Linked DNA regions of Rattus norvegicus. The protein of the gene in region 1 interacts with the protein of each later gene in a pairwise test. Links are inferred from orthologs where the notes say so. Each region holds a gene or a part of one and is shown in the gene's direction. Other genes may lie near its edges.

Region 1 (3,649 bases):
CTCATTCAATGGTGGTTTCAGAATGGGTTTCTATAAATATATTATAAATATATTATTTGTCTCTTTTGTCAATAACAATTTGAATGTAGACCAATGCTATAATATTTAATCATTAGTTATTGCCAAAATTCAAATGAATGCTGTATTTCACCCTCAGAAACTAGAAGCCAATAATCTTGAAGTTAAAGCAAGCAGGGAGCAAGCTGTGCAGAGCCTACAGCAGCAGAGGCAGCTGAGCACAGACCTAGAGCTCAGGAATGCAGAGCTCAGGAAGCAGCTTCAAGAGCAGAAGGAAGTGTAAGCGACCTTCTATTTTATATCCGTAAGCTTTCGGCTGTTCACACCGTTCACAGACAGGCATGAAGTGTGGTTTGTTTCAGTGTGTGTGTGTGTGTGTGTGTGTGTGTGTGTGTGTGTGTTTTCCCATGCACACAGTACTGGTTGTATATACTATCAATGTTAATGTCAGTGAAAAATAAGGCCTTCATTACTTGGTTGATGTTAACTTCATTTTCCATTGTTCACTTAGTTCTATAAATTCCAGTCACTCTTCAGCAGTAATATGGTACCATTTTCTCTTGAGCATTCATTTTGAGTTGTTCACCAGTTTGAAATAGTTAATATAAAAATTTTAAAACTGCAATTTGTATATATATCACCTGCGAACAGTCAAGTTTCTGCTTTGAGGTTCTAGACTAAGTACAGAGTGGATTTTTTCTCATTAGGAATGATTTTTTTCAACTTTGCCATGGGTCTTTGCAGCTTTGATGTTATTGGGTACATGTTTGGTTTCTCTGGCTGTGATGAAACACTAAAAGAAATCTTGGGAAGAAAAGGTTTGCTACACCTTACAGGTTAGAGTCCATCGTCAAAGGCAGGCAGGTCTAGGGGTGGAGGCAGGGACCTGGAGGCCGGAAGTGAAGCAGAGGCCATGGAAGACTGCTGCTTCCTTCTTGCTTCTCAATGGCTTGCTTAGTCTATTTCTCATACAACTCAGAACTCTGCGCTGGGCTAGCACTGCTTGCAGTAGGCTAGGCTAGGCCTTTGAACATCAGTCATCAAAGAAGTGAATCCAGGCTTACCACTAGCCAGTCTGATGGGAGCGTCTTCTCAGTTTGCTTGCGCCCATTGACAGAGAACAACCTGCACATTGAGGGAAGGACAACACCAGAACCAGCACACACTCTTTTTTTTTTTTTTAAAGATTTATTTGTTCATTACACTGTACACCGTAGCTGTCTTCAGACACACCAGAAGTGGGCATCAGATCCCATTACAGATGGTTGTGAACCACCATGTAGTTGCTGGGAATTGAACTCAGGACCTCTGGAAGAGCAGTCAGTGCTCTTAACCGCTGAGCCATCCCTCCAGCCCCCAGCGTACACTTTTAAAGATGGATTTTTTCACTTGCTCATTCTTGTAGCTTATTCATTCTGGCATTAAAAAACCCATGTATTAAAGGATCAATGATAACGGACCATTTTATAATCTGAAGTTAGATAAACCATTTGTCTTTATTTTTGAAGTAAAATGATTCCTTTAAAAATATCTTACATTATGTTAAAATATGTTTACATATGCTAAAATGTTTAAAAATATCTTACATTATGATATTTAAATTTATCAACATAAAATATGTTCTATATTTCTAAGGGAAGAGACAGAGTTCCATTTATGTGTAAGAAATAACACACTGATTCGGTACTTTATGGGGCCTGGAAAACCTTTGCTGGCGCTTGTAGACCCTCTAGGATTTGTTATCTGAATTTCTCTGATGACTTACGGTGGTGGACAAGACTTGATTAAGTTAGGGAATGGAACTAACTTGGCCCTTGCTAAGGAAATCATGTGTATCTAATGAGATGTTTTAAGGCAGTTTTCAGTGTTTTTAAAGTTATTTTATTTTTCCTTCTGAGCCATATAAAAAATTCAGTAATCACTTATGAATAATTTTGATTGATAAATTTTATATTACATTAATTTTAGAAATTCCTTTTTAATCCAGAGTATCTCATACAAAATTGGATCTACAGAATAAATCTGAAGCCCTTGAAAATATTAAACAAACCCTCACTAAGAAAGAAGAAGAAAAAGTTGTCTTGAAACAGGAATTTGAAAAGTTAAGTCAAGATTCAGAGGCGCAGCACAAGGAGCTGAGTGACAGGATGCAAGCTGCGATCACAGAGCTGATGGTGATGACAGCACAGAAGGACGCTCTCCTGGCTGAGCTCTCCACAACAAAAGGGAAACTGTCAAAAGTTTCAGATTCTTTACAAACCTCCAGGAGCGAATTTGAGAAAGAGAGTCAGAAAGGAAAGGCTGCTGTACTAGACTTGGTTAGTTGTTTATGTTTCTTTTCATAGGTAGAAGTCATCTTCTTAATTAAAGTGCTCTAATGGGATGTGTGTGGGGGCCAGTTTATTTCCCTTTATTTTTCTTTCTAACCTGATCAATCATTTGTAAGTTATTACAGATGTTTTCAGTGTGATATTTCTTTATTAGGAAAAAGCTTGTAAAGAATTAAAGCATCAGCTTCAACAACAAACAGAAAGTGCACTGAAGGAGCAGAGTGAACTGAAAAAGTCACTGGAGAAGGAGAGAGAGGTACAGTGCTCTCTTACTGTAAACATGTGGAATATAATGGGCTTTTTTGTTAATTTTTCTTACCCTGATACAGAAATCAAGAGAATGCTTATTTCTGCAAAATAAAATGGCTTATGTGTTTATTTTAAAATTGTTACTTGTGTTCTAGTTATCACTAACAAAGTTTAAATTCATTTAAAATGTAAGGGCCTAGTAAAGAAATGGTTAGTTGATTCAGTTTTCTTTTTCTTAATTGTATAAGAGTTTTAATTAGATAAGGTTAAAGAACATTATAGTTGAAAAAATAATAGCATCTTAAACTTACTTCATTTGTTGCCCCAGTTTTCTCTTTATTTCTATGATAAACACTGACCAGAAACAGGTTGGGAAGGAAAAGATTTGGCTTACCCATCCCCAGGCACAGCCCATCATTGAGGGAGGTCAAGGCAGGGACTCAGGCGGAGTCCTTGGAGACAGGCTCTTTACTAGTTTACTCCCAAAGTTTGCTCACTTAGGTCTTGATACCCAGGACCACCTGGCCAGAGGGCAGCACCCACAGTGGGCTGGGCCCACCCATGTCAGTCATCAATCATGAAAATGCCCCCCAGACTTGCCCACAGGGCAGTTCCTCAACTGAAGCTCTTCTTCCAAGATTGCTCAAGCTTAGGTCAAATTGACAAAAACCAACACCACATAGACAGTGACAATATTAGTGACAAGAAGATATTTCTGGACTTCTACACAGTAACCAAATGGTTCATGTCACTAATCGCCTGTGAATAAATCATACTTGGAAGGTGGCTAAAGGTTCAATAATATCTTTGAAAGTACTGTGTTGCTTGTAGCAGATACTCAGAGAATGTGTTTTCAATGAATAAATGAGTCAAATAAGTTTCAATTTCTTTTAGACTTCTCAACAGTTGATGATAGAACTCAATTCAGTCAAGGGAGAAGTCACACAGGCTCAAAATACATTAAAGCAGAAGGAGAAAGAAGAGCAGCAGCTTCAGGGGAACATAAATCAGCTGAAGCAAGCAACTGAGCAAAAGAAAAAGCAAATGGAAGC
Region 2 (3,749 bases), about 31 Mb from region 1:
CAGCCAGCACGCTGTGGTACTGGGAACAAGCCTTGGGTCTTCTGGGTTCAACCCTCAGTACCGGAAAAAATCCTCAGCAAAGCTGTCCAAATATTTTTTCAAATTTACAAACAATTGAGAAAATATCAACAATGTGAAAATTTAGGAGGCTAAAGTATCTTCCTTCAGACTACCACTTTCTGTTGTCACGGTTTTTACATGATCAAAACATTAGGCAATCCACCCAAAAAACTCGTGTTCTCTAATGCTCCACTAAGAAGAATTTACAAGGTAAAATTCCCCTGGTTTCAGGTCTTTCTTAATTTGACAGAGAAAGCGGGGCATCGGTGTAATCCAGGCCAAGGGGAGAAGAGAGAAGGTTAATACTGGTTTTTTGTTCGTTTTTTAAGACTATGTAGCTTGGAACTTTGTAGACCAGGCTGGCTTGAATCTCATTGAGATCCTCCTGATTGCTAGGATTAAATAAATGGGCCGCCAAGCCCACCCCTTGAGCCCCCCACCCCCAAACTGAGATCATGTTAATGAGGAGCCCGGGCTAGTCTCAAACTCACTAGTAGAGGATGAAGACCTAGCACTGCCTCCACCTCAGTCCACAGTGCTGGGATTAGGATTGCCACACCACACCCGACCAAAAGCCTTTCTAAGGCTTCTTTCGCGCTATCCTTGCCTGCCTGTCAAGTTCGGAAATTTCCCAGTACTGGTTAAGATTTCCATTTGACCCGCCTTCTTCACTCACCTGATTAGATGTTTACGAGTCAAAAGGCGGGGGAGGGGTGTCACGGGTGTCGAGGTTTTATTGGCTGAGGCACATGCCTGTCAGTGCTGCACTGCCCCCTTTCCCAGAAGCACTCTCTTTAATGGCTACTCATCCCGCCAATCTTCAAGGCTTCTCGTTTAGGTATTGGCTTGCGGCCTCGCCAGTCTGGTCCCCACTTGTACTAGTTGGTGACAGTCCCTCAAAGCCCGCCTTTCTCCAGAGGATTGGCGGGTGAATGCCCATATAGCCCACCCACCACGGTAGGCGGGTGGTCTTGGGATTGGCTGGAGCCTCCGCCCGCGAGGAGGAGGAGGAGGCGAAGGGGGCAGGAGTTTGGTTGAGCTGCAGCTGTTTGTCTGTTCCACACAGGCTTGGGCCCGACGGGGGAGACGGAGCCCCAGGTACCGAGCTGATGGAGCCCACAAGGGCAGAGGCGGAGGTCCCGAGAGGAGCGCAGCCTTGCCTGCGGCAGAGGCGGGTCGGGCCGACGCCAGGGCTCGAGAGCCTCCTGGAGCGGGCAAAAGGGGCTGTCCCGCAGGCCTAGTGGGCGCCGAGGAGGTGATCGGCAGGGCTGGGAGCCGAGCCTCTAGTTGGGAGGCGGCTGGGTTCTGGCTGCGGCCGCTCGGGGGCCGGGCGCGGGGACCCGGAGCCGGTGAGGACCAGGGCCTGCCTCGGGACTCTGAGCAGCGCGGTGTGGAGGGAGGAGCTGGGGTCGGGGACTAGGCAGTGAGGGAGGGGAAGCCAGCCCATTTGGCAGGAGGTGTGGAGGGGACAGTGCTACACCCAGCCCCGGGGGTAGCGGAACCTGGATCTCTAGAGACATCCACTGTCGGGGTTCCTAGCCAAATGAGAGGCATTCTTTTCAGGGAAAGTGACTGTTGAAAGGGGAACTAGGGGTACACTGGTGTAGCCGAGGGATTTGGTCCCTGAAGTAAATGAAGAATGCATTACTGATCTAGAAGACCAAAGTAGAAGGAAGTAAGCAGGGCCTGGTATCAGTTATGGGAACTTCTGGAATGATGGTGTATCTTGGAAGTTCCTTACTCTTTTGTTCCTTTAGTGCTTGGGTGTGGTGATTTGAAGTTTTGGGGTACTTCTTGAGTAGGGAATGAAGACAAAGTAAAATTATGTTTTCCATGGTTCCTGGTAGCTCCAAGCTCAGCCCCCCTACACTTTTTACCCTGACCTCATAGCTGGTCTTGACTGCACTCTTCTTTACTTTCTGTTACTGTATTCGTTGTTTTCCCTATTTCATGTACTGTGAGAGAACTAAGAAAATTTGGGAGTGCTTTGCTCAGTCTTTCCCACTTCATAATGCAGTCTGTGGTGACTACTCTTAACTTTTACCTAGAATTGAGGAACTCTGTCATCTGCATGAAAAGGGGCAAAGCAATCCCCAGCCATTTAAAAAAAAGAAAAGTACCATGTCTGTGAGACTTGCACTTGAGCATTTCCTAGGTAGTTAATGGAGGTCTCCACGCCAGGAACTGTGAGGTGATATCCCTGAAGGGATTTGGGAAAGAGTTGAGAAGTTACCTACCAGAAGGTTGGCACCACCCTTTCTTCTTTGTCCACTTATTCAGGAGTCATTTCTCTTTCTCTTTCTCTCTTTCTCTTTCTCTCTCTCTCTCTCTCTCTCTCTCTCTCTCTCTCTGTGCGTGTGTGCGTGTGCGTGCGTGTGCGTGTGCAAGCTACAATACATGTGTGGAGATCAGAGGACAACTCTTGTGGGTGTTCAGTACTCAGGCTTGGCAGCTTAGAAGATGGATTTATTAATGCCAGACAAATGGGAGTCCTCCCTCTCTCTCTCTCTCTCTCTCTCTCTCTCTCTCTCTCTCTCTCTCTCTCTCTCACACACACACACACACACACACACACACACACAGAGGAAGGGTTTTGCTGACCTGTCAAGTTTTCTATAGATTGGACCCTTTTGGTTTCTCCCTTAGGGTTCTGCCTCCTCTTTCTTTTCTGTACTAATGCTATTTATCACAGCATTCATTTTGTTCTCACTACATAGTGTATGCATATGTACTACATACATGCGGGATCCCTCAGAGGTCACAAAAGGTATTAGGTCTCCTGGAACTGGAGTTAAGGACAATTATTAGCTGCCACGTGGGTGCTGGAAACTACACAGGTCTGTGCAAGAGCACTAACCTGGGGCCGAGCCATCTCAGCAGCTTGCATCACTACGTTTCTTAATTACCAAAGTAACGCATATGTGAAAGTGTTTATGCTGCACAGACATATGTAAAATCTGAGTCCTTCTACACATAGCGTATTTCATTTAGGACAGTTAGAGATATTAAATAAGACTAAACAAGAGAATACTGTGGGAAGAATGAGACTGTAATTAGTGTGCACGTGAGAAAAACCCAAGCAGAGACAGGTTTTCTCATCTGCCCCAAGTGCTGTTCATTCTCCCCATTCTCGGTACTTTCTTGGCTGACACTCTGTTCTTCATTGTGTTCCTTTTGCAGTCCATCTCTATCAGGTTCAGAGCTGTCCTTTGACTTAGCAGCTGCTCTCTTCAGTGTTCATTCACACAGCCATGCACTGGGTAGCCTAGAAACTGCCCAAATGCACCAGCAACTTTCTTTTTTTTTTTCTAGTTTTTTTTTTTTTTTTTCCCCCGGAGCTGGGGACCGAACCCAGGGCCTTGTGCTTCCTAGGTAAGCGCTCTACCACTGAGCTAAATCCCCAGCCCCACGAGCAACTTTCTTATGGGCAAGAAAGAAACATCAGAATCAGAAACCCCATCTTCATTCAAATTTTCCCAGTACTTGACTGTCTCTTCCTTATCTTAGGGAGATGACAACCGTTCCAGACCCAAAAAGTTCCCATCTTTCTCTGAATTTGAACTTGACTTTTTTGACTTTCTGAAGCCCTCTAATATGCTCCTTGCACAGTGTCCAGCAAAAACCTCAGCCCCTCCCCACAGGTTTTCTCCCTTACACAGCCAGTCGTGTGTGTGTGTGTGTGTGTGTGT

The links.
Region 2: the proteins of Eea1 (region 1) and Rab5b interact in binary tests that used the Homo sapiens proteins (3 or more experiments, as listed by UniProt). The link is inferred for Rattus norvegicus from reciprocal best matches to the Homo sapiens genes EEA1 and RAB5B.

The regions. Positions count from the first base shown.
Region 1 is NC_086025.1:32,578,466-32,582,114, forward strand, and holds part of Eea1 (early endosome antigen 1), read left to right. Parts: intron 1-157; coding exon 158-297; intron 298-2,005; coding exon 2,006-2,336; intron 2,337-2,502; coding exon 2,503-2,604; intron 2,605-3,491; coding exon 3,492-3,649. UniProt on the Homo sapiens protein: Binds phospholipid vesicles containing phosphatidylinositol 3-phosphate and participates in endosomal trafficking.
Region 2 is NC_086025.1:1,710,135-1,713,883, reverse strand, and holds the start of Rab5b (ras-related protein Rab-5B), read left to right. Parts: upstream 1-1,147; 5' UTR 1,148-1,315; exon of another isoform or gene 1,316-1,409; intron 1,410-3,749. UniProt on the Homo sapiens protein: The small GTPases Rab are key regulators of intracellular membrane trafficking, from the formation of transport vesicles to their fusion with membranes.